3 linked regions of the Pelodiscus sinensis genome follow. The protein of the gene in region 1 interacts with the protein of each later gene in a pairwise test. Links are inferred from orthologs where the notes say so. Each region holds a gene or a part of one and is shown in the gene's direction. Other genes may lie near its edges.

Region 1 (10,524 bases):
TTTCCCTCTGCCGCCATTGAATGCTCTGTTCCCTTGAGACTCATCCTCCTTAAGAGCACTGGGGCTCTCAGACTGGAGGTGGGACAGTACTACAGTGTCCCAGAAAGTCTCATCAACATAGCTCTCTAGCTCCCTTAGCTCCTCCAGTTCAGCCACCCTGGCCTCCAAAGCCCAAACTCAGTCTCTGAGGGTCAGGAGCTCTTTACAACAGGTGCACACATACACCACCCGCCCACAGGGCAGGTAATCATACATGTTACACTCGACGCAATAAACAGGATAGCCCCCACTCTGCTGCTGGGCTTCTGTCTCCATTTTTCTAATGAATAAGTTTAAGTATAAACTGGGATTCTTTTTAAACCTCTGGAATATAGATTATTCTAAGAGTTATGTTTTAAAGAAGGTCAGAAGTCACTAGTGCCCTCTCACCTCCCTCTCCAAACTCCCTGTTAGCTATTCCTGGTCGCAAGCTTGCTGGTTGCTGAGTCACAGGCTTATATACCTCTGGTAGCCCCGCCCCCTGACTGAGGCTCAGCCAATTAACAGAGGCTTCTAGATTTCAAACCTTTTAGAAGCTCCTTCAAACAAACCAACCAACCAACCAACCAGACAAACACAAGCTCAGCACACAGCAAACACCCCCCCCCCCGACACACACACACACACACACACACTCCAGACAGCCACTTACCACAAGGGTCCCGTTTTTACTCTTTTACCTGGAGAACTTCCTCTCCAAACTCCCTGTTAGCTGTTCCTGTTTGCAAGCCCTGCCCCAAGGGGCGACGCCCTTCGTGCCGACAACTGGGGTTGCCCTTGTGTGGGGCGGGGGGCTGGCAGCAAGGCCAGCTGCCCAGTGCCCCTCCCATTTGCTCCCCCTCCCTGCAAAGGGGCCCGCCTCAGGGCTTGTTCCTCAACCCCCCCCCCCTTCTCCCCCAACATGCTGGGCTCCAGCGCTGCCCACGCCGCCTGGGGCTGTAGCTGCAGCCAGCTGGCAGGGGAAGCTGGGCTGCCAGTTTGACGGCCCTCTGGCAGCAGCTGGGAGCGCCTGTGTGGTGGGTATCGGGAGGGGGGGCTGGATGGATCCCAGAGACTCTCCTGGCCTACCCCCTGCCCAGCCGCCTAATCAGGCCCTATTCTTGCTGCAGCCACAGGAGCAGGGCCGCAGATGGGGCCTGTCAATCTCTCCGCCACGGGCGGCTCCTGTTCCCGCTGGGAGGTAGCCAGGAGAGGCCAGGCCGTGCCCTCGCTGTAACCTTGCCTGCTGGGGCCGCTCCAGCTCCCTCCCCACAGCCCAGTCCCTGCCCTGGGCCTGGCTGGGAGCCAGACGGTGCCTGAGATCTCATCTGCTTTGAGGTTGCCAGCTGGGGTCAGGCAGCCTGGATTCAGACGGGCCCATGCAGCGGCCCAAGCTGGCAGCTGCCTTAGAGCATGGTAGTCTCAGCCCCTGCAGTGGTGTGACTGGTGGGGCTGGCAAGCCGTAGAATCCCTGCTTTTCTTCCTCTCCTGCCTGCCCCTCACCCCCAGGACCAGTGGTCCCTGCAAGCTGAGTGCATGGGTGGCCATCCAATGCCCAGCTGATTAGCAGAGCACCCACAACTGCCCATAGCCTGTGTTTCTACTGGTGGTGCACATTCACAGATGCCTTGGTGCACATAACAAAATTTATTCTGCACAGAACTGGAAAAAATTACAGGGAACATTGCCCAGGATAGCAGAATACACCCCCACCCCTGCCGCCATGAAGCGTAGGTTTGATAGCACGTGCACACACTGGATTTGCTCCTCCTTTGCTCAGGCCCCCATGCAGCCACTCGCACCAGTGCGACATGCTGCCCTCCTCCCTGCTTTGCACTGGTGTGAAAGGTTGCAGCCAGTGCCAGCAGGCACTCCTCAGAGCCTGCCTTCCCCGTGCACCCTGGCCACCCGCAGGCCCTCTGCTCCCACAGCGGAGAGGAGGGCCAGAGCTCTATGGCACAGTGCAGAGTGACAACACCAGGGCTGGTGGAGGAAGAGAGGCGAGTGTGCAGGCTAGTGTGTGGAGGTAGGTTGGGCACTGCTGCACAGGGGGCAGGCACACGTGTGCGCTTGGACTGAGCTTGTGAGCTGTGCAAAGCCACGGGGTGCTGCAGAGCAGGCAGGGGCTGGGCCAGCTGCCCATGGCCAATCCCCAGTGGCCCCAAGCACACAGTGCTTTTTTTTAAAGAAAAAGGTGCCGGTACTCCAGGGGAAAAGTTGTTGAGCTCTGACTGGAGGTGCCGGTACCACGTCTGGAGGTACCAATACTGCGTCGGGAGGTGCTGGTACCACGATTGGAGGTGCCGGTACTACAACTGTGTTGTACCAATAAAAGCAAGCAGGATCTTATGAGGGGGATAAGGCAAAAAGCCACATTTATTGTAAAGATAATAAAAAAAATAAAGAAAAGATAGAAGCAAACAACGTTGTTTAACTACTTAACCCTTATACATATAAACATTCATTCATCCATTCATTCAGGTTCTGTGTATTTGTTATAATTACCAGCCTGGAAGTTGCTTGTGACAGAATACTGGCCAGGTATTCTGTAAACAAGTGATGGTAGTGGGGAGCGAAGTCCTGATCAGATGCGCATCTGAAGTGATGGTAGGCTGGCAGCAGAACCTTGGACTCTGATTCCATAGTTTTTTAGTCCAGTTCTCATAGGAATTTCTTCCTATGCCAGTCTATAGGAATTGCTGCATCATGCTGATGTCTCCAGGGTGGCTGCCAGGTGCTCGTCAGTGATCTCATCGGGTGGACCTCCAGTACTTGGTTTTCTCCACTCGACACCTTTTGGTTGCACTGGCACCTGACGCCTTCTTCAGCCCTTTGTTGCTGTATTCTCAGGCTGGCACCTCTCAGAACCATTCATTCATCGTCCAAGCACTCACTCTCTCTTACATACATTCCCTAATTAATGTTTCCCATACAGTATTTTGTATAATAATAAAAGTTGTAGTTACAAAAGTTACTGGGTGGTATTGCTTAAAACATTCTGAATGCTAAGTAAAGTTACAATGTTTTAAAGAGAACAGGCGTCAATTATGTAACAATGCCCTTAGTCAATTACAGGGCTTGGCTCCCATAGCAGAGTTAGTGGCTTGACAATGCATTGTTACAATGTATCTCTGCAATGTCAATTTCAAGCAGCCCCTTGCACAAGCTTGAGCATGCCCTGGGACACAGGAGGGGGGGCTGTTTCTGGCTACATAGGATTATATTCTTAACAGTTCTAAATTACATGACCTAATATATTATATTCTAAAGGGGCAATAATAATAATAAATCTAAACATTTAACAATCTTAACAAATAATAATAATAAGAAGAATTAATAATAAATCTAAACACTTTAAGTTGTGGGGAACAAATTATGGGGAGTCACTTCCATTTGGGGGAATCATTTTCAATACATTAATATGTTATCCCTACAACTGGAGGTGCTGGTACCACGACTGAAGGTACAAATACTGCGTCGAGAGGTGCTGGTACCACGACTGGAGGTGCTGGTATCACGTCTGGAGGTGCTGGTACCACGACTGGAGGTGCTGGTACCACGACTGGAGGTACCAATACTGTGTCTGGAGGTGCTGGTACCACGACTGGAGGTGCTGGTACCACGACTGGAGGTACCAATACTGCAACTGGAGGTGCTGGTACTACGACTGAAGGTGCCGGTACTACAAATGGAGGTGCCGGTACTACAACTGGAGGTGCCAGCACTGTGTCTGAAGGTGCTGGTACCACGACTGGAGGTGCTGGTACTACGACTGGAGGTGCTGGTACTACGACTTGAGGTGCCAGTACTGTGTCTGGAGGTGCTGGTACCACGACTGGAGGTGCTGGTACTACGACTGGAGGTGCTGGTACTACGACCTGAGGTGCCAGTACTGTGTCTGAAGGTGCTGGTACCACGACTGGAGGTGCTGGTACTACGACTGGAGGTGCCAGTACTGTGTCTGGAGGTGCTGGTACTACGACTGGAGGTGCCAGTACTGTGTCTGGAGGTGCTGGTACTACGACTGGAGGTGCTGGTACTACGACTGGAGGTGCCAGTACTGTGTCTGGAGGTGCTGGTACCACGACTGGAGGTTCTGGTACCACGACTGGAGGTGCCGGTACTGTGTCTGGAGGTGCTGGTACCATGACTGGAGGTGCTGGTACCACGACTGGAGGTGCCAGTACTGTGTCTGGAGCTGCCGGTACTGCGTACAGGACAGTACCATCACAAAAAAAGCACTGGGTGGGCAGCTGCCATCCTGCTCTGTGCAGTGCACTCAGCCAGCACGCGAGTGGGTGCGCCCCCTCCTCCCCGAGTGGAGAGCTAATCCCCAGCTTCAGCAGAACTGTGCGAAGTCAGTGGAAGGAGCTGCTGCACTGGTAATGAGGTTGGGGACAATGTTCCCCCCCAATTTCTTCCAGGTGCAGAATAAATTTTGCTATGCGCGCCAAGGCATGTGCACCACCAGTAGGAACACCCGCTGCCGACCGACTACGGGGGCTCTGCTAATCAGCTGGGAAGTATCTGAACCTCTCCTGCATGGCCGCCCAAGCGCTCAGCTTCCAGGGAACACTGGCTGGGGGGCAGCCTAGCTCCAGGCTGAGAGTGATGAGACTTGGGAGCTGGCAATCAATCGCCTTGTCATGGGCATGGTGGGTGGGCACCGGATCCTCTGCAGCTGGTCCCAGTAAGGACGTGGCAGGTTTGATACCGGATCCTGCCCTGCCCCGCGCAGGCAGTGTGAGAGGGCTCCTTGTGTACCGGCCCCTTGCAGCCGGACAGGGCACAGGGTGGGGCAGGGGTGCAGGGGGACGCTGGCCCTCCTTTGGCAGCTGAGCTGGAGGCAGGCTGAGCCCAGCTTGTTCTCTCACTGCTCCTCAGCCACCCACGGACTGTATCTCACGGCTCTCCTCCTCCTCATTCCCCAGCTCACCCCCGCCCCTCCCTCCTCTTTCCATTGCCTCCCATGTGCTGCCCCTGCCCATCCACGCAGCCATGCGCTTCTCAGTCACTGCACCATCCACCCTCCCACACCTCGCAGCCCCCTCCTCTTTCCCCACCTGCACCCAGCCCCATTGTACAGCTGGGGAACTGAGGCCCAGAGAGATTAAGTGACTTGCTCAAGGCCACACAAGCAGGCTGTGGCAGGGCCCAAGCCCTAAACTCAGCTCTCCTGAACCCCAGTCGTGTCTTCACTACCCAGCCAACCCACTGCAGCCAGATACTGGGGAGCCAGCACCCTTCCCCGCTTCTTTGCAGGCCCAGCGTAGCCGTGGGATGACGAAGGGCCTGGGAGGACGCGGGCAGAGCCTGACAGCTGACCTGCTGCTCATCAGCAGTGACTGGCCCGCATGTAATCTCCATGAATAGCCAGCTGAACTGCCTGGCTAAAAATAACCAGCTGCCTTTTCATAAGGGGCCAGCCCGCGGGGCTGCTCGAGAGACGCCCGCTCGTTCCCCTCCCGCCACAGCCAGAGCAGCCAGGCCAGAGCAGGAGTGCACCATGTCAGAGCGCCGGGTGCCCTTCACTTTCCTGCGCAGCCCCAGCTGGGACCCCTGGCGGGACTGGTACCTGGGCAGCCGGCTCTTCGATCAGTCTTTCGGGATGCCCCAAATGCTGGAGGACTGGTACAAGTGGCCGAGCAGCACCAACTGGCCGGGCTACCTCCGCCTGCTGCCCAGCCAGGCCGCCGAGCCGCTGGCCGTCCCCAGCCCCATCGTCACCTCCCCCACCTCCCCTAACCCTGCCTACAGCCGGGCCCTGAGTCGCCAGCTCAGCAGCGGTATCTCGGAGATCCGGCAGACAGCGGACAGCTGGAAGGTTGCCCTCGACGTCAACCACTTTGCCCCGGAGGAGCTGGTGGTGAAGACCAAGGAGGGTGTGGTGGAGATAACCGGTGAGTGCTTCCTTCCGCTCCTCCTGGCTCTGGAGAGGGGCAGCCGTCTCCTGTGAGCCTGAGCTGTTCTCCCTGTGCTGAGCCCTAGGCCTGCTGCACATGCCCCCCCACAGGGCTGGATTACCCAATAGGCAGACTAAGCATGTGCTTAGGGCACCCGCAAAGCCGGGCCACCAAAAAAAAGAGATTTTACGGTATAGTATTGTTTTTATTTTGAATTACATGGGGGGGGCACCATCATCTTTTCAGTGCTTAGGGCCTCTAAAGGTCTTAATCCGGCTCTGCCCCCCTAGAGCAAGGTGAGTGACACAGGCCCCACTGGGCCTGGTCTGTGAGAGGTGGCTGCAGCCCCCCTCAGGCCGGCCTGGCTGCCGCCTGTGGCCCCGGACGGCCAGGATTCAAAGGCTCCATTCAGGCTGGAGGATTCCTCCTGCCGAGATGGTGGGGCACTGGTGCACCCTTCACTCTCTCGAACCTCCAGCCCTCGACTCGGCGCCTCTCACTATATCGCTCATGCCTCCAAGCGGGCCGTTGCCTGCCCCCCCTTATTCCCCCATCCCCACAGCCTTGAGGAGTGGATGCAGCCAGCCGGCCCCCTCTGTTTCCTGTGAGGGGCCATGTTCCACCCCACCGCACGCTAGGGAGCCGCTTGCTCCAGCAGGTCGAAGAGGGAAAGGGCTTGCTCAGCCACCTAAATCCATGCAAGCCATGGGATGGGGGAAGACTACGCTTGTTATTCCATTCCGGCTGAATATTTGTATTCCAGACCCCTCTAGAGACCTCAGCCTAGAGCAGGGCCCCCTTGGGCTGGGTTCTCTACAAACATAGTAAGAAATAGACCCTGCCCCAACAAGCAGTTGGTCTAAATAGACAAAAGGGGAGGAGGGAAACTGAGGCAGGGGGCTGTAATATAACTTATCACCCAGCAGGTCTGTGACAGAGCTGGGGACAGACCCCAAGCTTCAATGAGTCCCCGGCTCACAGCCTAGCCCCCAGCCCTCACTACCCCCTAGGGCCCTCTCTCGAAAGCGAGGAGCCTTGTACCCTTGGGGGGTCTGGGCCCGAGGGCTTTCCAAGTTCACACACGCCCTTAGCAGTGAGTGCTCCGGCAGCCTGGCGAATCTCCTCTAGAGCATCATTAAAGATGGTGGCTTCACTCTCGGGGGAATCGTGTGGGCCTCGCTGCTGGATTTGAATCGTGACCCTTCCAGCTTTTTCTCTCCCTCCCTGGCTCAGATCCCAAACGAGAGCTCGGCAAAACATCTCCCAGCCCAGCAATCGCCATCACAATGGCAGGGAGCAAAGCCGAGGGTGCGGGGAGGAAGGAGGAGTCCCCTCACTGCCGTTTTCAGCCACTTCTGCAACACACTGCAGGCTGGCCCCCTCTGGTCCGGGACTCTGGGGTCCGTCTTGCCAGCAGCTGGGAGTGGTGCCAGGCTGGCAGCCTGCGGGACCAGTGTCCGGGGGATGGGGAGCCATACCAGCAGCCGGAGTGGAGCCCTGGTGGCCAGTGGAGCTGGTGGCTGGGGACAGTGGAGCCCCAGAGCAGGTGGGCCGGGAGCAGTGTGTTGGAGGAGAGCCCCAGGAGAGCCCAGAGGCCTGACCTCCCCTGGTCGGGCAAGCCCCTTGTTTGGGACCTCTCAGGTCCCCAGGATGCTGGACCGGGGAGGTCCAACCTGTAACGAAATATTTTCAAACAAATGTTAAACTAAGGCCCTGTGGCCTCCCATGGGACATTCAGACGCTGTCAGTCTGGACCAGGGGTGGGCACATGCGGGTGAAATGGCTCCGTTGCTGCTGGAATGGTTCTTTCCCAGGTTCAGTGTCTGCTCTTAGCCCCGGCTGGCTTTGTCACTGGTAGCTAGATCCTCTCTGGAGGAAGCAGAGCCACAGAACAGGGATAGGAAGAGGAATTGGGTGGATGGACATTAGGACCCAGGGGTGCCCTGAATTTCCAGGTGCCCGACGCAGCTGCGTATTCTGCATGTGGCTAGGACGGCCCTGACCACACTGTGCTGTGACCCAGCCCTGCGCAGCTCACGCGGCTTGGATGTAAGATCAGCCTGAGTCCCCCTGAGCCGTCCCCTCCCGCCCTCGGCTCCAGGAAGTTTTGCAGCCAGCTGTCCCAGAGTGCCAAGTCGCCAGCTGGTACAAACCGGTGCGGCTTGAGTGACTTCAAAGCACGATGCTGGTTCACACCTGCTGAGGGTCTGCCCCAGAGTCTGGGGTTTGCTGGGCAGCAGGAAAGCTTTGCAAGAAGCTGCAACTTCCCTGTTTCTTCCCAGCGAGCCAGTGATCAGGTCACCAGCTGGTACAAACCGGGGATCTCCGAGCCTGCTGGTGAAACCGACCCAGAGCGACGATGCTCAGAACCAATTTGCAGCCACCGGCGAAGCTGAAAGGGACTGACTCAGTCCAAGGCGGATGGTGCTCACCCAGGGGCAGCCCCTTGCATCCAGGGGACTGGAGCTCAGAAGGCAGGACCCAGCTGGGCTGAGATACCAGCACATGGGTTCAAATCCCTGCTCTGCCACAGACGCCTAGTGTGACCTAACTCCAGCTTCTCAGCGGGATTTGGGGCCTAAATGCCCCTTAGGAGCTGGGCCCTCCTCTGAGTAGCCCAGGGGATCAGCACTTCCCTACCCGGCCGGAGCAGCCTGTGAGGTACAGGGCTGCGTACGTGCCTTAGCTTGAGAAGTGGAGGTTGCTGAAACCCAGGGGCTGCGAACCAACCACCTAGCCTGAGACACGGCCGGGGAGGGGAGTGGGGGAGGATGCAGTGAGGCTACCTCTGCACCCTGGGGCTTGGCAGCTGTGGACCAGGGGAGCAGAAGGCTCCCATTGAGCCACCAAATACCCCGGCCCGTTCCCTTCCAGAGGCTGTAAATCCAGGAGAAGCAAAGGAAAGCTGGCATCCAGGGTGGGAGGGGAGGGGAGGGGGAAAGGGACTGGGAACTTTTCTTCAGTTTTCTACTGTCAGGGGCCAAACCCCCAAGGCAGAGAACGCATCTCCCACCCCCCAAGCAGCAAAATTCCAGCTTTTGATCCCCTTTCCCGTTTGTATCTGCAGTTTCTCCTTATCTGGTCTCGGCTGTTCAGCCCAGCCCGGCGCCTGCCCTGAAAACCAGACAGAGCCCAGGATGCAGCATCCGGGTGGCTGAGGCGTCTCCCGATTTTGTAACCCAGCTGCACGGGTGCGGGTGGAGGTGGGGGGCAGCGGTTTCTTCCATTCGCAATCACCCATGTAAATGGCAAGCCGCCCGTGCGCTGGGTAACCATGGTAACAGGGAAGCAGAGGCCTAGAAGGCGGGGAGGCCGAGCCGCGCTTTGGGGAGCTGTAGGAACGGCAGCCCGGCTTGGCTCTGGCCCCACCGCATGCCATAGAAGCTGCCTGCCCTGTTGGGGGGAGGGGGAAAGCAGGGCTGGGGAGATGGACCAGCTTGTCAGCCAGGTCCAACTCCACTGTGAGCTGGCAGGTGGGGTGCAGAGTGACACAAGAGCATTGGCAAATCAGCATTTTATACTAGTCGCTCTTGCCCCTGGGAGGGTCGGCCCTGGGCCGGGACCCGCTGTGTTAGGTGCTGGACATACACAGAATAAAACCTGACAGGCCAACCGAGGCCTCTGCCCGGACAACCTTCCCCGCCAGTGGCGGAAATCTGGCGCGAACAGGCGCTCTCATAGGAGTTGGGCTTCCGGATGTTAAATTGCGATTGCGAGCTAATCGAATAGTCGATACAATCTGTATCGATACAATCTGTATCGACTATACGATTAGCCGATCGCACCGCTATGCACAGCCGCCACGGGGGCAGCCCCAGGAGCCCCCCGCACTGCGGCGCCGCATTTTAAACTGCTTATCGGATGGTCGCGCACGACCCCATGCGGAAAACAAGCTGTCCCTCGCTGGAGAGTGGGCAGGGTGAGCGAGGGCTCGTGTTGCGCACGCAGGGTCCTGTTCAGAATGGAGCCTCCCCGCTCCGAAACGAAGGAGCCCGTTCCTCTTGGCTCCCCCAGCCAAGCGACTACTAGTCCCCTGGGCAGTCTGGCGGGGGGGGTCTGTGGGCCAGGCTGGCGGCTTGTGGAGGAGCCCTGGGAGTCGGGGAGGAGTCAGTACCTTCTCCGCTCTGGGTAAACCCCCGGGAAGCTCCGGCTGCAGGGTCCTAGCTGGGCCCGGGACATGGCACTGACCACTAGGCCTCACCCCCTGACTGTGTCTGTCGCCTCCTCTTCCAGGCAAGCACGAGGAGAGGCAGGACGAGCACGGCTTCATCTCCAGGTGCTTCACCAGAAAATACACGTAAGTGGCCGGCTCAGCCGGGGGGGAGGGGGGGAGAAGAGGGCTCCTGGGAGACTGGGCCTTCAGCCGTGGCAGGAGGGGGGGGGGGGCGATTTCTTTGCCACATGCAGTGCGGCTCGCCAGGTGGGACCCAGGGGCGTGGTGGCTGGACCCAGGGGAGATATGTTAGCCCACATCCCTGGCCCTGCTGGAATGATGTTTCCGTGAGGGGGGGGCAGGGGCAGCAGAGATGGAGCCCCTGGTTCTAGCTCTCCGGGGCCGGGGTGGCACAGAGCAGTGGTGAGCGGTCCCAGGAGGGAGCTACGC
Region 2 (10,524 bases), on another chromosome or scaffold:
GGGCCAGACCCACTTCCTCAGATCAAACAGTGGAAGAAAATAGTCACAACCATATATACCAAAGGATACAATTTTAAAAAAGTGAACACATATGAAAATATGTGATTTGTCCTTTTCATATGTGTTCACTTTTTTTTAATTGTATCCTTTGGTATATATGGTTGTGACTATTTTCTTCCACTATTTGATCTGAGGAAGTGGGTCTGGCCCACGAAAGCTCATCATCTAATAAACCATCTTGTTAGTCTTTAAAGTGCTACATAGTCCTGTATTTTGTTTCAACCATGGAAAAGGTACACAATAAATTACCACATTCAGCCCTGCCCTGGCACAGTGGAACACCAATTCAGACTCTGCAGCTTCAGAGGAGAGAACATTTTCACAAACTGCCAAAAGCAATAATCTGAAAAATGTGCCAAAAAATCAGCTCAATGAATGTCTGAAAATATTCCTTACTTCCATATGTTGGATAAATAATTAGCCATCTAAAGCATTTAAAGCCCCCATGGAGGTTAGTGATAGAAATGTAGCAGTGGTGTTATTCTAAAATACAGAAGCATTTTAATAAGCATGCAAAGCAAAGGAAATGAGAAACTTTCCACTGCCAGGATCAGGTAAACGGATATCCTATGATTATTAAGAAAGGTAGAAAGAAATTCAAAGAAAATTGAACATTACCCCCACGTAGATTGAACAATTCTGTAACTGAAAAGAATGAGTAAATATAGGACCCAATCCTAACAGTTATGTCTGTGCTTAACTTTACAAATGTGAGTAGTCCCATTAACTTGCATATAATTACACATGTGAATACATAAGCATATATGTGTTTACAGAATGGAATTTTGGGCCTTGTTTTCACAACCCCCATTAAACAGTATCCTTTGCAACATACTTAGGAGTCAGGCTTATGAACCTAGGAATTGTAATACCAAATCAGAAATGAGAGCCATCTATTCCAGTATTTTACCTCCAACAGCAGATGTTTGAGGACACACCTACACTGAAGCATTATTTCAAAATAACTGTTGTTATTTCGAAATAACAAAGTGTGCATCTACACAGCAAGCCATTATTTCAAAATAATTTTGAGATGATGGACTTCTTACTCTGACTTCTGTAACCCTCATTTTATGAGGAGTAAGGGAAGTCAAAGGAAGAGTGTTCTGTATAGACAGTGCCAAAAGCTGAATTAAAGTATTTCAACTTCAGCTACACAATTGACATAGCTGAACTTGTGTATCATAATTCAACTTTTGCCCTAAAGTGTAGATAGGCCCAGAGAGTGTAAGAATCCCATAGTAGCAGATGTGGGAAATTTGTCCCCCCCCCCCCCCCGATAGGTTACATACTGAGCTGTGACAGAGATTTATTAAACCATGACACATCAGCTGTGTCTAGACTGGCAAATTTTTCCGCAAAATCATCTGCTTTTGCGGAAAAACTTGCCAGCTGTCTACACTGGCCGCTTGAATTTCCGCAAAAGCACTGACGATCTGATGTAAGATTGTCAGTGCTTTTGTGGAAATACTATGTTGCTCCCGTTTGGGCAAAAGTGTTTTTCCGAAAAACTTTTGCACAAAAAGGCCAGTGTAGACAGCAGAGATTTGTTTTCCGCAAAAAAGCCACAATCGCGAAAATGGCGATCGTGGCTTTTTTGCGGAAAAGAGCATCTAGATTGGCCATGGACGCTTTTCCACAAAAAGTGCTTTTGCGGAAAAGCATCCTGCCAATCTAGATGCGCTTTTCTGAAAATGCTTTTAACGGAAAACTTTTCCGTTAAAAGCATTTCCGGAAAATCATGCCAGTGTAGATGTAGCCATGAAGTTTAACATATCTCTCAGAATTTTTGCTATTCCTTATGATAACTCTGGAGATTCTGATCTGTATAAAAATCCAATCCCTTTTCGAATCCTGCTAGATTCTTGGTCTCAATGATATCCAGAAGCAGTGAGTTTCAGTTCAATTATGTGTTATGTGAAACAATGTTTCCTTTCATCTTTTCTGAATTTGCAACTTTTTAAGTTAATTAAATGTTTCTTTGCTTTTATGATGAGACAGGGAGAACTGAAACACTGTTATTTTATATCTGTTTAGCACAGTGTTTCTTAAACTTTTTAAGACCAAGGCACACCAAACAATTTTTTTTATGAGGAACACCAAGGATTTTTTGTTGAACAAACAAAAAAAAAAGAAGAAAAAGAAAAAGAAAAAGGTCAGGGGGATAGTTATTGAGCAGCCATTTTGTTTTGAACTCTGTTGTTCTTTGTGACACACCTCCGAATGCACAGTTTAAGAAACACTGGTCTAGCATGTCCACTCTACTGTGTCTCAGTTCTATATAAAATAATTCCCTTTATTTCAATCTCTTTTCATGTGAGTTTTCCCATGCCTCTTAATCATTCTTCTAACTCTTCTTTGCACCACTGATTTATGTAGACATCAAAATGCTTTCTCAACTGTTCTCTACCCCATTTCTTTTGCAATCTAACATCATTTGTGTTTCTGACTGCAGCTACATATTGGGCAAAGGTCTCTCTTGAACAGTTTGGTGATACCCAGCATCTTTTCCTGTATTGACACAGTTAAGTTAGAACCTTCTAAGGTACATGGGTAGTTTATAATGTCCCCTGAATTTATATTTCTTTGCATTTGTGAACCTCAAACTCCATCTGCCTTCATATTGCCTACTTATCTACCTTGTTGAGGTCTCTGTGAAGTTCCTGAAAATTCCCACTAGTCCTGATCTAACCCAAGTAACGCCATGCCATTTGCAAACACTGCTACCCTATGAGTCAACCCACCTTTTCCGGGATCTTAATAAATATATTAAACAATTCCGGACCTAGTATAGAACTCTGAGTCACCTCCAGTCATTCGCTTTTTGCTCAGATGAAAATTGACCTTTTATTTATACTTTTTGTCTTCTAGACAGTTTTTGATCCATGAACTACTTCACCTCTCTTCCTGGTTACTTAGCTTCTCTAATAGACTTTTCTGATGGAACTTATTAAAAATCTTTTGATAATCTAAATACAAGTGGTTTTTCTTAATCCACTACTTTAATGATACATTCAGACCGTACGTCTAGACTGGTGGCTTTTTTCAAGATACTGGAGGTATCCCAGAAAAACTCCACCATGTCCAGGGAACGCGTTTGCTCTTCTGCTTTTTTTTTTTTTCAGAAGAGCTAACGCGCTCTTTCAGGGAGCCCTGAATACAGTATTCTCTGAAGAATAAGGGCTCTGCCGAAAGAGGAGCTAAACGGTGTTAAATCCTCTTCCGGAAAAGCAATCAGAAAATGCTACACAAATTGCGGAGTGCAATTTGCATAGCTTTTTCTGATAAAAGAGTATAGTGTAGACCTTGCCTTAGAGATCAGTGAAGCATTATTTTCCTTAGCAGAAATCCTGTGGCAAGATGGTATCACATCATGATCTTCAAGTGCTTTATTATATAGCTTTCAATTGTTCATCCAATTTGCCAGGTACAGAGTAAGGCTTCTTGGTGTGTAATTCCCTTCCATTACAATATTCGTGATCCTTCAGTCATCCAAAGCACACGGGCTACATCTACACTGGCATGATTTTGCGCAAGAACTCTTTTGCAGAAGAGTTCTTGTGCAAAAACTCTTCCAGAAGAGAGCGTCTACACTGGCATGTGCCTTTGCGCAAGAGATGTGCTTTTGCGCAAGAGCATCCATGCCAGTATAGACGCTCTCTTGCGCAAGAAAGCTCTGATGGCAATTTTAACCATAGAGCTTTCTTGTGCAAGAAATTCATGTTGCCTGTCTACACTGGCCTCTTGCACAAGAATAGTTGCGCAAGAGGGCTTATTCCTGAGCAGGAGCATCATAGTTCTTGTGCAAGTAGCACTGATTTCATACATTAGAACGTCAGTGTTCTTGTGCAAGAACTCACAGCCAGTGTAGACAGGCAGCAAGTTTTTGCGCAAAAGCAATTGCTTTTGCGCAAGATCGCATCAATGTAGATACAGCCTCATAGTTTACAGGTCTTCCAAAATCTACCTAGAGAAGAACCCTCACTCATGCATGTTGTCCCCTTTGCTTCTATAGGACTATTCAGGAAAGTAAAAGTTTGTAGAATATAGGACCTAGCAGTTTGATCTTTGTCTGTTCTTCAGTGATACCTGTATGTTAATAACTTTTGAATTAAATGCTAACTTTCTCAATATTTATCATAAATATCTTGGAACAAGTGAATAGTGGCACATGACTGGATAACTTCAGGTGTTGGTAGAGTAACTAAAGATGACAAAATATATTAAACTATGCTTGTCAATTGAAGTTGTATTAGTTTAATTCTTTGAATTAAATTATTACATTATTTGATTTTTTAATATTTATGCAGGAGCTCAGCATGACTGAAAATCAGGCCACTGCAATTTGGGAGTCTAATTTTTTAGGAGCATTAGTTTGAAAATGTTAGCCTATATTCTTACCAGGGATGTAATAGTACAGTCAATTAACCGATTAACCAATAAGAAAAAAACCTTATGGACTATATGCATTTAAATGCAGAGCCGCAGCAAAGTTTGGTCCCTGACCGGGTACACGTCAGGACTGAGCCAGGCCCCCTACCCACCCGGCTTCTACAACATTTTAAATGCAGAGCCACAGTGGGGTAGTTCCCAGACCTGGTGCAAGCTGGGACTGAATGCTTTAAACTGCCTTCTCTTATTAACTAATCATGTAGTTGATAAAATTCTATCAACTAAACAATTAGCAAATTATTTGCTTCTTAACATCCCTAATTCTTACTATCAATATTACTATAGTATATATATGCTGTGAATTCTATAAAAGGAAATTGACTTTGAACTGTTATGTTAGCCACTAGATGTACATACACACAAGCCTCAGTCTGGATGGAGAATTTGCTTTCCCCACTATAAAAATATATCTGTTCTCTAGCATTATCTGTTCATTGTATGAATATACATCTAGATTTCAAGAACATAAGAAATGGAACCATATCAATTAGTAGCAGTCCACATCACTTATTTTGTGTTGGATTAGCTGTCTCCTCAATTCTTGTACCTCCGATATTTTTCTTCCAAACACTGAAGTGCTGAGTAACCTTGGGCAAGAAATTTCTCTGCACCTCAGTTTCCCCATCTGTGAAAATCGCAAAGGGATCTGACCTCCCTTGTAAAATGCTTTGAGCGGTATTGATGGGCAGCGCTGTGTACAATGAAGGGATTACGAGCAATCCCTACGACAGCCAGCGGCGGAGCTTGTGGCCCCGACTGGCCACGGTATTAGCCTAACTCTGGGCCAGAGGGAAGGGGAGCGGAGTAAGGCCGTGCACCCAGGCAGGCCCGGCTCTCTAGCACAGCACGAGTCGGGCTCCAACTGGAGATGCTCCACCTCGCTGCTTTGCAGCACGGACTGAGCCGGGCGGAGGCTGCGCTGGGCCACCCGCAGGACTAGGGCAGGGACAGCGGAGGCGGGGAGCACGGCCTGGGAGGGCGGGGTCATGAGCCGCCTTGATGAGCTCCCCTCAGAACACACGTGCCGCTCTGATCCGGCCTCTGTCTGTGCCGCTGGCCCGACCGTACCCTGGCAGCGGCAGCAGCAGAACCCGAGCTCCAGTACTGGCACCACCCTCTCCGGTACTTTCCGCGCATGCGCTAAAGGTGGCGGTACGGCGAAGGCTTTCTTATGCGCATGCGTGAGACGAGTTCGCCCGCTACTGCCAGCGCGCCGGAAGTCATCTCAACGTCTCCGCGCCGGGTCGGCAGTGTACGCATGCGCTCTGTGGGAGGAAGCCGCTGCCCGGCTGGTGTGTCCGCGAACGGACGATGCTGTCGCCGGGCTGCTCCCGACTGTGCCTAGTCCTGTCACCAGCCAGTGCGCAGGCGCATCCCGGGGCTGCCGCTGCTGACTGACTGCGGTGGGTCATCAAGTGCCGCTCAGATCAGCGAGGTCCCGCCGCTGGCGTGTTGGGTGCGGCGCCGGGCTGCACCTCCGCCCGCCAGGGCCTAGTGCTGGCCGGCCTCGTCCCACGTGTCCCGCCCCTTCCCTGCTGAGAGGGCGCAGGGCCCGGGGCCGTGCGAGGAGTGAGAGGCCCGGTCCTGAGTGCGAGGCGCCGCGCTGCCCCGTTCCCCGCGGACGGAGGCTTGTCCCGGGCAGCGGCAGGATGAAGCTGGTGAGGAAGGACATCGAGAAGGATAACGCGGGGCAGGTGACCCTGATCCCCGAGGATCCCGAGGACATGTGGCACGCCTACAACTTGCTGCAGGTGGGGGACAGCCTGCGGGCATCCACCATCCGCAAGGTGCAGACCGAGTCCGCCACGGGCAGCGTGGGCAGCAACCGCATCCGCACCACCCTCACCCTCTGCGTGGAGACCATCGACTTCGACTCTCAGGCCTGCCAGCTGCGTGTCAAGGGGACCAACATCCAGGAGAATGAGTATGTCAAGATGGGGGCCTACCACACCATCGAGTTGGAGCCCAACCGCCAGTTCACGCTTGCTAAGAAGCAGTGGGACAGTGTGGTGCTGGAGCGCATTGAGCAGGCCTGTGACCCAAGCTGGAGTGCTGACGTGGCAGCAGTGGTCATGCAAGAGGGGCTGGCTCATATCTGTCTTGTAACCCCCAGCATGACCCTGACTCGGGCCAAGATTGAAGTGAACATCCCCAGAAAACGGAGGGGAAATTGTAGTCAACATGACCGAGCACTGGAGAGATTCTATGAGCAGGTGGTGCAGGCAATCCAGCGTCATATCAACTTTGAGATTGTGAAATGTGTGCTGGTGGCCAGTCCGGGGTTTGTAAGAGAACAGTTCTGTGACTACATGTTCCAGCAGGCTGTCAAGACTGACAACAAGCTGCTGCTAGAGAACCGGTCCAAATTCCTTCAGGTAAAGTAGATAAGTAACCTTTAAATTGTAAAATCCAAAAAGAGTAAAGAGTTATATTGTGTGACATTAGCATAGAGAAAATTTAAGTTGAAGATCAACATAAATTTATTTTTTGTTAGACTTTAAATTGTGTATTAGTAAGGAATGTAGGTGTCCTTTTGTTGGGACACTTAAAAGCTAAACTAGATGAAGCACTAGATAATTAAATGCAAGCTCCCCCACCCCTCATACACACACAAAAAGAAACTTGATAGTGCCTCATTAAAATGGCAGAGATTTCAACACTTAGGAAATTGCATTTCCAGCAGAAAAGCCAGTTCAGTTGTGTTGGGGAGCATGAGTGTTTTATGACAGATTTAATGCCAGTGTAAGAAAAGCAAATGAAAACATACCTAGAAGTAGCAAGGCTAAGTTAGCATTGCTGTTGGAAAACTTTTTTATTTTTTTCTCTTGGTTTTTGTTATTTGCATGACCTTAAGGTTTTATTTGCTAATTATTTTTATCTGATTTCTTCGGTATTTTTAAAGGAGAATTGGAAAAAAAATTAAGAACATCCAAATTTCATTGGCTTCCTGTTTTTACAATGCCTGGCTTCCTAGAGGATACATATTGTTACTGAATTAAGTAAGCCTTTAATCCAAAATCAGGGTCCTAAGCCTTTGACAGTCCCAGGGCATTAAAAACAGCTTCATAAGTATGAAACAAGTTTCTTTTAACTCAGTGTTTTAACATGGATATTAATGAAGTATTATCTGCAAGAACCAGCCTGAGGACAAGGGTCCAATCACTGCTGAGAAGTGCTCGCTTCTTATATCTGAAAATACATGCAGGAGTACTGTGAATCTAGTTTTTTTCAGATGCTTTTTGGTTTAGGCCAGTGCTCAAGATCCCAGCATATTTAAAACAAACTTTGAATGACTTTGTTCTAAATTTTTTCTAACTTTGTTAAGCTCAGAGGTAGCTGAAGGTATTCTTGTTCAATATTCCTGAAAAAATTCACCTTCAGAAAGAGACTGACTACGGAAAGTTTCAGTTCATAAGTGAAACATATAAGGCTAAGTGATCACCATGGACTAAATTATCCATTTTTCTTCCATTTATAACATTTTTATTATAGGTCCACTCCTCTTCTGGACATAAATATGCACTGAAAGAAGCTCTTTGTGACCCAGCTGTGGCCAGCCGTCTCTCTGACACCAAGGCAGCTGGTGAGGTCAAAGCCTTAGATGACTTCTACAAGATGCTACAACATGAGCCCGACCGGGCTTTTTACGGCCTCAAACACGTGGAAAAGGCCAATGAGGCCATGGCTATTGATACCCTATTGATCAGCGATGAGCTCTTCAGGCACCAGGATGTGGCTTCCCGCAGCCGATATGTGCGGCTGGTAGATAGCGTGCGGGAGAATATGGGTACAGTGCGCATATTCTCCAGCCTCCATGTGTCTGGGGAACAGCTTGGCCAGCTCACAGGGGTAGCAGCTATCCTACGTTTCCCTGTTGCTGACCTCTCTGACCAAGAGGAGGAATCCAGTTCTGAAGAGGATTGATAATGGCTCATTCACCCTTCCTCTATAGTACAATAAGACTAAAATGACAGTCACAGCGTTTCTTTTCCAAATACTGCAAACAAATGTGCCCTAGTGTGCAATTTAATATTTTGAGGACAACATATATTTTAAGGTGCCTGGTTTTGTTCAACATGCTGTACTGGATAGCCATATATATTTGCACTTGCAGTATTAATAATGATGAGTATACTATAGGTTGGGGTTAACCATTGTTTGTACAAACTACACTCTGGATCTCCCAGAGCATAGCAAACTAATATAATTCTGATTTGGTTCCTGAAAGCTGCTGATGAGGTATTTTAAAGCAGATGATCTTTTTTGCCTTCTGGTGCATGTACAAAAAAAGAATAAATTAAGAGGAAAAAATGCTAAAATGTCACATTTCCTGTTTTATGTGCTTGCAAACAGCACTGGGAAGTATGGGAAGCAATGTGTTAGGTATTCTAAAGAATAATCTTCCTTTTCAAACTGCTATCCGAGCTTTAGCCATAGGCAGGTTGACAACTTGGTCAGGAACTCAAGGGCCACATCTTATTGATGTAAAAAGGAGTAGATTGTAGGGATTGGAAGAAGATTAGATGTGGGCCTGTCTTGTTCATGAGTCCAATCATTTGCCTGAATTTGGCAGTATTATTCAATACTGTTCGATTAAAAATGGAAATATTTTAAAGAAAAAACTGAATTGGCAGTATCTCTTTAGACATGATGGCAACTGCAAACCAAAGTATAAAGCAGTGTGAGCCTCACTTTGAATATTTCTTCTAAAATACTACCTCAGGTCCCTGTCATGTGAGTTCCTGAAAGTTATATTATATGCTGTACTAAAGTCTGGTACTTCAGATGTAAATAACTGTCTTCTAATGAATCAGTGTTAGGATAATGTGGACCAGATGCTGCAAACTTGACATGAATGAGCAAGGATTTGCGAATCCTAAATCCATAGCTTCCCCAGGAATCCTTTTGGCAATAGATAAATGGCTTTCATTACAGTCTCATAATCTAGTATTCCCATGTAGATGATTTTAAAAACAGGTATGTATAGTACCTCTTGAAAATAGAAGATCTAATTAATGGCCGGACTTTGACCTTTTTGGAGATAATGATTGTTGGAAAAAGCTACCTTAGTTTTTTACCAATGTTATTTAATCTGTTTATCAATTTTTATTAAAGGTCCAAAGAATGGAGGTGATCAGAGAGTTTTTTCCAATTTTTCATGGAATTTTGGGGGGAGGAAGTTTGTGTGTGTGTGTGTGTGTGTGTGTGTGTGTGTGTGTGTATATATATATGTATATATATATATATATATATATATATATAGAGGGAGAGGGAGAGGGGGACAGCGAGGAAAGGTGTAAATCTTAGAAGTGTAAGAACCTAGTTTTGCTGTTCAGTAACACTTATAATGACTTTATTTCCCTGAAGTATTTCTATTAAGATTTAGAATTGGAGTTCTACAGTTAGTGTTTGAAGGTAATTTAGAAAAAATACAGACTTTCTTTTAACTGTTATTACAGTGCCACTCATTTACAGGAAGAAATATATACTTCCAGGAAACAAGATACCTCTACATTTGTTCATACATTTTTTTTGGAGTGACGTAAAACCCATAAATGATATACACACACAAGTAATGTGTAGGAAAATGAATCAGGTTGCATGAAAATGTAGATACAGTAACACAGACCCCCTACAATTGACAGAGTTCCATTGATGTTAATACTCTTTGTAGTTAGAAGTATTTGCCATGGGTAAAGGGTTCTTTGCATATTGGCAGGTGTACTTGCAAAGTTAAGGTCTTAAGCTTAAATGGGGCATTTCATTCATTACTAGAAGTCAGCATGCGTTAACACAACAGTGCTATGACTTAGCACAGGAAAAGAGTACCTTTTCTAACCAAAACTACATTAGGATTAGGTCAGAATATGCAGGGCTCTACCCTTTAAACTTCTGTCTTTGGGTTTTCAACAGTCACCAAAAGGACCTCAGTACTGACTTTCTGAAAGAAGAATGAGAAATATATTAACTTTATATAAAATGGTTTATGCTGTGATTATCTTATTAATCACC
Region 3 (10,524 bases), on another chromosome or scaffold:
TTCTGTTCCAATTTTATCATGATGCAACACATGTGACATAACTGTTAATGATAATCCAAGAAGGTGCATCAGATTGTGATTGTTACCATGATGAAATGTTTATGACAAAGGAACCTCCATATTTATTGTACAGATTTTTTTTAATCCTTAACCAATTGTTCTTCATTCTCCAGCTAAAGCAGAGACCCATCAGTGAGACACAGATGAAAGATCCTATGTAAACTACCAACAAAAAAATTCCCCCAAATACAGAGAAATTCACAAGTGTGATTTTCAATCTTAGTATTAATCCAATTAACAGAAACTAACAATACTGGAGAGGAAATTTAGGTCCCAAATGAGATTTTGCAACAAATAGGATTTGACAAAAGCCAGTAGCCACAGAAGTGCTTTCCTAACTTTTAAAACAGCTTGTGAATGAAATCAGGCCTTGTGGCTTAAACGTGTACCCGGGCCGCAGAATCCGGACGGACGCATCTTCCAACCCCCTGCTGCCAATCACCATCGCTGGGTACCATACCCGCCCCCACCCCCTCATGCCAACTCCTCCCCTCTCCTCCGACCCGGGACACTTCCCCGGTGGTCCCCACCGTACAGCCTCCCACTCCGGCCCAGCCCCCAATTCCCCGTGTTGCCGCCTGCCCGCCCCGCTACCGCCCCCCCGTGAGTCTCCCCGGCCCGGCCTGGCCCCCTCTCCCGCAGGATACGAAATACACGGAGAGGAAGATCAGAGCGCAGCAATCAATGAGCGAGAAGATGAACACAACGGACTCCATGCCACCAGCGCCGCCCTGCCTCCCGGCCACCGTACACTGCAGTTTCCGGCTCTCTTCCTCCTCCCCCGTTCACCGTCTCAAGCTGTACATGCCCGCCCCTCGGAGCTCACCCCGCGGCATGCTGGGAAATGTAGTCTTCACTTCCCTCCCTAGACCTGCAAGGGCTGCTGCAGGCAGCAGTGAGGTGGTGACCCCTGGGAAGGGAAGCCTGGCCTAACGTTTGGGATGAGGCAGGGAGAAATCCCTCACCTTTCAGATATCAGTCCTGCTCTGAATAGGGCCCCAGGAAGGGGCTGGGACTATGAGGATGGGATGGGGACCTTTGCACAGAACAGAATCCCAGTAGCACACATCTTTCTCAGTCCCACCCAGGAATCCCAGACCCCAATGCAAACCCATTCACTTCCTCCCTCCAGGAGAAAGCACATAATCCTAATAGCTGCCACAGCTGGGCCAATGGGATGGAGGGAGATTAGCATAAGATTTAAAATCATAACTTTAAAATTTAATGGTGGTGACATTAATAAAACAAAATCCATGAGAGTTAGGTTATTCCTAAAGTTAAGGTTCTTATTGCATTACTAACTGTGCATGTGTAACCCAGAGGCACTAAGAAAGGAGAGTAAAGTCTGTCCATTAGCTATACACATGCACATCTTGTTATTTCAATAACATAACTAACAAGAGAAACAGAAATGTTACTACCTGCAGAATGTGGAAGGCAGAAAAGTTAACATTGTATTAAAGTTTCAAGAGAAGGGGGAGTTGAAAATAACTGACCTGTCATGCTAGGTAGGGTAGCCAGGTATCTGCTTTTCGACCTGAACACTCAGTTGACAAGGAAACCTGGAGGCTCCAGTCAGCACAACCAACAATGCTGTTCAAAGTCTGTTTGGTGGTTCAGTAGGGCTAAGACTGGCTCCATACCTGCCCTGACTCCATGTGGTTCCCAGGAAGAGGCCATCAGGCTCTTGCAGCTACTAGGTGTACAAGAAGGCAGGGAGCCTCTGTGTGCTTCCCCTGCCCTGAGCACCAACTTTGTTGCTCCCATTGGCTGCACGGGAACCACAGCCAATGGGAGGTGCTGGGGCAGAGCATGGAGCCTCCCTAGCCTTGTGCCTATGAGTTGCAAAGACTTGATGACCTTCTTCCAGAAGCCATCTTAGGTAAGCACCTCCGAGACTCCACCACTCTTCCTGTGCACCAACCAACACTGAGCCCCTCCTGTACCCAGAACCCCTTAGCCCTAGTCTAGAGCCTCTTCTGTACCCCAAACTCATCATCCCTGGCCCCAACCCAGAGCTTGCTTCCCCATGTCAACCCTTTGCCCCAGCCCTGAGCCCCCTCCTGCATCCAAACTTCCTCCCAAAGCCTGTATCCCCGCTACACTTCACAATCCTCAGCCCCATCCTCACCCAAATCAGTCATCTCTAGCCCCATTCCAGAGCCCACACTCCTAGCTGGAGTCCTCATGCCTCCTATCATCCCAACCCTCTGCCACAGCTGTTCTGAGCCCTCTCCAGCACCCCCAAACCCTAATCCCTGACTCCCCTCTATCTAGCCCACAACCTCAGCTAGAACTCTCATTCACTCCTACACCCCAACCCCTGGCCCACCATGGTGAAAGGAGGGCCCAAGCATAATATTTTCAGACCCAGTGCAAACTTATAACACAGACCCCCCTCCCGCACACATACCACAAGGTGTAGCATGGGCTGGATCCCAGTGAAGTGTCCTCTCCTGCCATGTGAGGGCCCTGGATGAAAGTAAGGGAAGATAAAGTGAAGGGGCACAGCCTCAGGGATGGTGCTAGTGGAGATAAAGGTAAGTTTTGGGCCATTATTAAGTTGGCAATCCTGATGCTAGACTTGTCAAACTGAGTGTTGTGTCCGTGCCTAAACTTTGCATTTAATTTACTTGGCTTACTGATAAGCAGGGCTCGACAAATAATGCAATCTACTTGCCCGTGGCGAGCAGATTGCAACCCGGAAGAGCCGGGTTCAGGTGATCTGTGCATACGCAGATCGCCGGAAAGCACGGCTGGCAAGCAGGGCTTGCCGCGGTTCAGTGAGCCCTGCTGATAAGGCTCCTAGGCATTATAACACCAATAATAAACAAATAATGGCATGGCATTAATTGACTCATCCTGGCATGGTTTTAACTGAAACACCGGTCATTGCTGGGGCCTCAGTACAAGCACCATACAACCAACTTGTCACACTTGTCTCTAAAGCAGGGCTACTCAACACGCAGCCCATGTGTTTGCGGCCCACAATCCGATTGTTTGAGTCCCGCTGTGTGGTTTGGGTTTAGATGGGGCTCAACACGCAGGCTGCGTGTGGGAGCCAAAACAAAAAGGTAGTCAATATAATTGTCTTCTGTTGATATGCATTTTAGTAGCTAAATTCCTGGACTCTCATTGCTCATTAAAAGTGCTGTTATCTGGGTGGAAAGCAGGCAAATATTGCATTTTGTTAATATCGGCAGAACAGATTTAAATGGGGCCTGCCTGTTGTGTCCTGCCTTAATCTTTGTATTCATGCCTGTTAGCGTGAAAGAAGCTAATTGCATGTATGTGCCACCACACTTAAGTTGAGGCCCTCTGCATGTGCTGTATCATTGTGGCCCCCGGGGCTTCCAAAGTTGAGTAGCCTGACTCTAACAAAATGCAGGACAATGTAGCACTTTAAAGACTAACAAGATGGTTTATTAGATGATGAGCTTTCGTGGGCCAGACCCACTTCCTCAGATCAAATAGTGGAAGAAAGTAGTCACAACCATATATACCAAAGGATACAATTTAAAAAAATGAACAAATATGAAAAGGACAAATCACATTGCAGAACAGAAGGAGGATGCGGGGGGGTGGGAAGGGGGAGGAAGGAAGGTAAGTGTCTGTGAATTGCTGATATTAAAGGTAGGGAGAGTGGGATGTTTGTGAGTTAATGGTATTACAGGTGATAATTGGGGAAACTGTCTTGATAATGGGTGAGAAAGTTCAAAGACTTGTTAAGTCCTTGTTGGTAAGTGTCGAATTTTAACATGAATGACAGTTCAGAGGATTCTCTTTCAAGTGCAGATGTAAAAGGTCTTTGTAGCAGAATGCAGGTGGCTAAGTCATTTAGAGAGTGTCCTTTCTGAAAGGACACTCTCTAAATGACTTAGCCACCTGCATTCTGCTACAAAGACCTTTTACATCTGCACTTGAAAGGGAATCCTCTGAACTGTCATTCATGTTAAAATTCGACACTTACCAACAAGGACTTAACAAGTCTTTGAACTTTCTCACCCATTATCAAGACAGTTTCCCCAATTATCACCTGTAATACCATTAACTCACAAACATCCCACTCTCCCTACCTTTAATATCAGCAATTCACAGACACTTACCTTCCTTCCTCCCCCTTCCCACCCCCCCGCATCCTCCTTCTGTTCTGCAATGTGATTTGTCCTTTTCATATGTGTTCATTTTTTTTAAATTGTATCCTTTGGTATATATGGTTGTGACTACTTTCTTCCACTATTTGATCTGAGGAAGTGGGTCTGGCCCACGAAAGCTCATCATCTAATAAACCATCTTGTTAGTCTTTAAAGTGCTACATTGTCCTGCATTTTGCTTCAACTACCCCAGACTAACACGGCTACATTTCTATCACTGACTCTAACAAGACATAGTAGCTGATGTCCACACCTCCTACTACTAGGGCTGCCAATCAAGTCGGGCTATTTTGAACGGGGCCCTTCGGCCGGAGACGTAGGTGCCTTGGCTGGTGCCTGCACAGAATTGCAGCGCGGATCTCTGGCTCTGGCGGCGCAGGGTAGCCTAGACTCAGGTCCTTTCGCTTCGTCTGTCCGGAGCTGCTGGGCGATGCGGGGCCGCGCGCGGAGCTTTGCGGACCCTCGCCTGAAGCAGCGAATCAAGCAGGTGCCGCTTCCCCTCTCCCGGGTCTGCTCCTGTCTCGCCCCGCCCCCCAGTTCCCTCGCGCGCTCCAGGGCAGTTCGGGGGTTGCCTTGACGTCAGCCCCGAGCCCTGCGCCGGACCCCGCTGCTCCGCGCCAGGCAACGGCGGGCCCGGCGCTCGGGTCTAGGCCTGCTAGTGGCTGTTCCATTGGCCAGGCCCGGCCCGGCCCCGAGCGCGTGTGTGTAAAACGCTGGCCACGGCCCTGGCTCCCCACGAGTTGCCTGGTGCCGCGGGCTACCCCGCGTGGGGGGCTTTACAACCCGAGACGGGCGCGGTGGGAGGGAATGATTTTACTGCAGCCCTGTTGAGCGAGCGTGTGGTTATTGTGACTGGTGTCTGGATCTCCGCTGGGCACCTTCCACAGACACATTTATCTTTAAAACGCCCCTCTGAGGTATTGAATTATGATCCGCCTCTTACAGGCTGTGAACTGAGACACAGAAATGAGACTGCATGGAAAGTCGAGCAGAATCAGAGATGGAACCCATGAATTCTGTTTCCACATGCAGTGCCCTATCAACTGCAGGACCTTTTTTTCTCCATTGTATTGATAGTCAGACTTCGCTGGTTCAGCAACTAAATTAGTGAGAAAAGTTACCCAAAGGGTCATAGTAGCGTGAATTGACTGTTTCATTCACTGTACTACTAGTCATAAAGGATATTAAAAATCTTTTAATACAGTAACCATGTAGCTGCTAAAAGTCTTAACAGTTACATGTGGGCTCTGCTGTATAAAGTTTAGCAGAGGCCACAGCAAAGCCTCTCTAGGATCAGGGCTACCAGCGCCTGCCCACCTGGCATCCAGGGAGGGGACTTCATTTTGGCAGAGAAGCCTTCTCCCCAGAAGCAGCAGAGCATCCTTTGCCCACCTGGCTCCTGGGGAGAAGGCTTTGCTGCCCTGAGATAGTGAAGCCACCCCCCTGGGAGCTGGCTGAATTTAACCAAGATGATTAATCGATAAACATCAGCTTATCGGTTAAATGGTTAGTCGGATAAACTCTAACATCCCTACTAATTATATTTAAACAGTACAACAGGGGAAATATTTTATTTGCATTTTGTCTCACAACAAAGAAATTAATAACTTAGTGCAAGTTGACAATTTAAGTGGCTAATAAGATATTGAAAGCATCCTGATAGTCTAAGCGACGAGGAGTCCTGTGGCACCTTATAGACTAACTGAAGAGTCTAAGTTATTAATCAGTGCTGGCTAAAGTGTCTCCTGCTGCTTTTGCAACACATGTGTGTGGTTAATAATTAAATCAATCGGAGTATTACTGCTCTGTTAATTTACTGTGGATTTGCCCCAATTAATGACATTTGTCAGTTTGGTCTCCAATATATAATGTACTACATTTTCCAGTAAATGTTGTGAATTGGCTACGTAAATAGCTAAGTTTCCATCAAACTGATAAATAATAATATAACTTTGTGCAAAATAAATTCATACAGTTTCTGATGTTTTAGTTTTTCTCTTGTATATCATCTTGTGAATCAATTCAACAGAAAGTCTAAAATTCTATAAACTCTGCATTGCAGTACCTGAGCAGTAATAAATGTGGTCGATATGTGGACATTGGAATTTTAGCAGCTGGTTTACAGAAAACTTACAGGTGAGCAAAAAGTGTAATCCTTGTATTCTGTTTTTAATAAACAATAGAAATGGTAGTATACATTTGCATATCTAAAAATGTTAATACCGTATTTCTCGTGACAATTATGAATTACACTTCCAGTAGACTTCCGATAATCCGGCACCTTTGGGACCCAGGAGGTGCCGGATTATCGGATATGCCGGCGTATCAGGAGGTACTCCAGCGGGGAAGCTGTGATGGGTCTGCCGGGACCCGCACTGCTACTGGTGGGGCGGGGGGGGAGGGGCCGCGGTGGGGAACGGCATGGCGAGGGGCGAACCCTCCACTGTTTTGCAGGGAGGCAGGGGAAGCCCTGCACAGCTGCCGGCAACAGGCCAGCTGGGGCTGCAAGCGGCAGCGGCGGACTTGGGGAATCGGCTGAGCAGAGCAGCTGGGGCGCTGCCAGGTTGGTCCCACAGCGCTGCCCCTCACCTGAGCAGCGCTGTGGGACCAACCTGGCAGCACCCCAGCTGCTCTGCCCCGCTCCGCCGCTTCCCCAAGTCTGTCACTGCCACTTGCAGCCCCACTTGGTCTGTCACAGGCAGCTGCGCAGGGCTTCCCCCGCCTCCCTGAAAAACGGTGGAGGGTTCGCCCCTCTTTGTGCTGTTTCCCGCCCCCAGGCCAGACACATTATAGACCCGTCACGGGTATAATCCCCTTCCCCTTTCCTCCCCTTTCCTTTCCTGGCCCATGAGCGCATGTGGGGCTCACAGAGCTCCAATTGTCCGGCTGGCTGGAGGACTTCCAGGTTCCAGTTAGTGCCAGACTATCAGGAGTGCCGGACCACTGGATGCTGGACAATTGGAGTTTTACTGTAAAACTAGGTTTGAAAGTTGCTTAGTAAGTCACAGATCTAGGAAAAAGTACACTGAAAATAAATTATTTTCTGGTTAAGGTTTTCTCTGGCAAAATTTCCAGTAATTTTTTTATATTGTTGTACCGTAGAACAGTGTTTCTCAAAGTGGTCTATGGACCCACTCTGAGAGATCTGCTACTGGGCCGCTCCGGATTGTTTGTTTACTTGCTCTGCAGTCATGTAGAAATGTATTGTGGAAGAGACCTCAAATGATCATCTATTCCAGGGCTACTCAACATGCAGTCCGTGGCCTGTTTGTTTGCAGTCGGTGGTGCAGTTTGAGTTTATGTGGAGCTCAACACGTGACCCGTGGGTGGGAGGCAAACCAAAAAAGTAGTCAATATCATGGTCTTCTGTTGATATGCGTTTTAGTAGTTAAATTCCTGGACTGTCATTGCCCATTAAAGTGCTGCCATATGGATGGAAGTCGGGTGAATATTGCATTTTATTAATAGCAGCAGAACTGGCTTAAATAGGGCTTGTGTGTTGTAGTTTTGCCTTAATCTTTGTATTCATGCCTGTCAGTGTGAAAGAAGCTATTTGCATATATTTGCATATATGTTTGCAAGTATATGCAACCACACTTAAGTTGTGGCCCTCGACAGTGTGCTGTGAGTATCATTGTGGCCCCTGGGGCTTCCAAAGTTGAGTAGCCCTGATTTATTCCATCTCTTTGTATTGAAGCAGGACCAAGTACAGGCAGTCCCTGAGTTACGCGGATCCGACTTATGTCGGATCCGCAGTTACGAACGGGGTTTGCTGCCCGTCTCCCTGGTCTGCTGAGACGGGGAGCAAAGTCTCTGAGGACAGCGGCAGCGGGACAGCCGCGCCGTGTCTGGGCTGTCCGCTGCCCACGTGCTCCCCGGCTTTGCTCCTCGGCTTTCCTCCCCGGCTTTGCTCCCCGTCTCCCTGGTCTGCTGGTCTCCAGCAGACCAGGGAGACGGGGAGCAAAGCCTCTGAGGACGCTGGCAGCGGGACAGCTGCAGCGCGTCTGGGCTGCCCACGTGCTCCGCAGCTTTGCTCACGTCTCCCTGGTCTGCTGGTCTGCTGGTCTCTGAGGCTTTTCTGTAGTGTTGACGTGCTATTTCAAAATAAGCTATTTCAGGGAAAAATAATCCAAAATAGCTTATTTCAAAATAACTTGCTCTATAGATGTACCCTCAGTTGCCTAACTTTGCTGTGGTGCTTAAAAACACCTTGAAAAGAGAATTTTAAAGCATAATTTGAAGGAGGACAAGGAAGTAGCTTTGTTCATGCTTATAGCCTCTCTCTATCGTGGGATATATAGTTTGTGATCTGTTAGTGGAGGAATGGACAGTAACACAGCGGCAGTTTGCCAGGGTTAGCACCTAGCGAGCTACCGCCACTATATTTAACTATATTTACCTGCACAGCTGCAGTTACTGGTGATTGGCCGCAGATCACTGTTCCCAGCCAATGGCAGCGGAATAGGCAGGGACACTGCTTCCCGCAGTTCCCTTTGGCTGGGATTGGTGATCTGCAGCCAATGGGAGCTGCGATTGCTGGTACCCATAGCCATGCAGGTGGGGGCCCTCCAGGAGCTAACCCTGGTGGACTAGATCTAGCCCATGAGCCAGTATTTATCCACCCCTGTGTTATTGGAAGGGAACTCAGCTGCTTGATCATGAAGTTGGGAGAGCACATTCATTGCAAATGATTAAAGGGTCTGAATTTTTCATTATGCCAAAAAGAAAAAAAAATCCAATGGTTGAACTTAGTGCTTGTGAAAGTAATGGACCACATTGTTTGTAGCTGGGGATACGGTGTTGTGCAAGATTCCATTTACTAATTTATCAGTGCACCACAAGAAGAACCCATCCTTGTCCAGTTCCTAGCTACGTATGTAGACGTTGTGTATTTTGTTTGGAAATCCACATAGCTGATTCTTCTTTTATATTGCCATTCACTGCTCTATGTGCTCAGCTGACGAGGAATATTGCCATTCACTGATCTATGTGTTCAGCTGAGAAGGCGTTTCGTAATCCACACAAAATGTCCCTTTGAAGACCACTAACTAGAGACCACTGAGATTCACCTTGCACTTTTATCCCCAAAATTTAGTGTAGTATCACACTATTTGAATTGCACCTAATCTTTTTGTAAAGCCTGGGAATACCTTGAACCAAATCACTCTGCCATATGATTTGTTCCTGGATGCACTCATATAAACAATTGTGGAGTGTGTCACTACATGAAAGAAGGCTTCAGTGAGAAACTAACGTGTGCAATTGTTTTCAGTGCAGAATATGGCCGAAGAAAGAGAAATGCCTTTAGAATTCAGGTTGAGAAAGGTAAGTCTGTTAATATCATGACAAAAATACCAAACAAGTTAAAGAAGCTTTCTGAATTACTGACTACACTGTTGTTGAGCACTTGGTGTCATCTTCTCATCATATTCTTCTGTTTTTCCCTAGTATTTGAGATAATAAGTAATGAGAGAGAATTTGAAGATTTAACCACTTTAGAAAATGAACATGTGGCAAAAAGAGCAAGAGACAGACAAGGAGAGGATGAGTAAGTTGAAAATTTTGCTTTAAGACTACTTCAACAATGATGTTAGTGCTTTGTATCTTTTAAAAAAACCTAACTGTGCAGGCCCTGATCATGCAAGCTATTTCATACAGGTGCGCCCTTGTATCCTCATTAGCCTGTTCTTTGCTTGGAGGGGAAAAAGGGCCAGGAGAAGAAGTTCTTAATTCAAGTTACGTTCTAGTGAAGCAGGCCCATAGGCTTGAATTCAACCTGATAACTCACATAAAAACTATACCTTTTTACTGGGGTTATCTTTTTAATTGAGGTATGTGTATGTGTGTGTTTTGAAGACAAGTCCACTGGAAGGGATCCTCGTAGGTAAAAGGTAGGGATGTAAAATCTCGGCAAATCAGTTAACTGGTCAAATGTTAGGTTGACCTAACATTTAACTGGCTAAGTGGGATCTGGGCTGGGGCTGCTGCTGGCTTCCAGGCCCCACCAGAGCAACCCCTGTCTGTGGTGTGTTGGGCTCCCTGCAGATAGCGGCTGTGCTGGTGTCCCAAGCAACTTCTGTCTGTGGGATACCTAGGCCTGCTGCGGACAGGGGCTGCTGCTGTCTGTGTCAGGCAGATAGCTGCTTCATTCCTACTGGTTAATGGTTAATCTTTAACATCAGTAGTAAAAGGATTCATCCATGTAGCTTGTGTAGGATGGGGGCATATCTGTTAAATCTTTATATCTCCTCTGAGTCATACAGGTCTTATTGCTATTTTTTTTGTGCATGAAAACCTGAAATGCGGCATT

What was found.
Region 2: the proteins of HSPB1 (region 1) and PELO interact in binary tests that used the Homo sapiens proteins (3 or more experiments, as listed by UniProt). The link is inferred for Pelodiscus sinensis from reciprocal best matches to the Homo sapiens genes HSPB1 and PELO.
Region 3: the proteins of HSPB1 (region 1) and NVL interact in binary tests that used the Homo sapiens proteins (3 or more experiments, as listed by UniProt). The link is inferred for Pelodiscus sinensis from reciprocal best matches to the Homo sapiens genes HSPB1 and NVL.

What each region holds. Positions count from the first base shown.
Region 1 is NC_134731.1:15,440,087-15,450,610, forward strand, and holds the start of HSPB1 (heat shock protein beta-1), read left to right. Parts: upstream 1-5,453; 5' UTR 5,454-5,524; coding exon 5,525-5,918; intron 5,919-10,154; coding exon 10,155-10,218; intron 10,219-10,524. UniProt on the Homo sapiens protein: Small heat shock protein which functions as a molecular chaperone probably maintaining denatured proteins in a folding-competent state. Plays a role in stress resistance and actin organization.
Region 2 is NC_134716.1:98,696,038-98,706,561, reverse strand, and holds PELO (protein pelota homolog), read left to right. Parts: upstream 1-3,849; 5' UTR 3,850-6,161; coding exon 6,162-6,887; intron 6,888-8,004; coding exon 8,005-8,436; 3' UTR 8,437-9,646; downstream 9,647-10,524. UniProt on the Homo sapiens protein: Component of the Pelota-HBS1L complex, a complex that recognizes stalled ribosomes and triggers the No-Go Decay (NGD) pathway.
Region 3 is NC_134713.1:155,538,319-155,548,842, reverse strand, and holds the start of NVL (nuclear valosin-containing protein-like), read left to right. Parts: upstream 1-4,535; 5' UTR 4,536-4,644; coding exon 4,645-4,701; intron 4,702-6,276; coding exon 6,277-6,350; intron 6,351-9,486; coding exon 9,487-9,539; intron 9,540-9,662; coding exon 9,663-9,762; intron 9,763-10,524. Other genes in the region: CNIH4 (protein cornichon homolog 4), read right to left, coding at 708-776. UniProt on the Homo sapiens protein: Participates in the assembly of the telomerase holoenzyme and effecting of telomerase activity via its interaction with TERT. Involved in both early and late stages of the pre-rRNA processing pathways.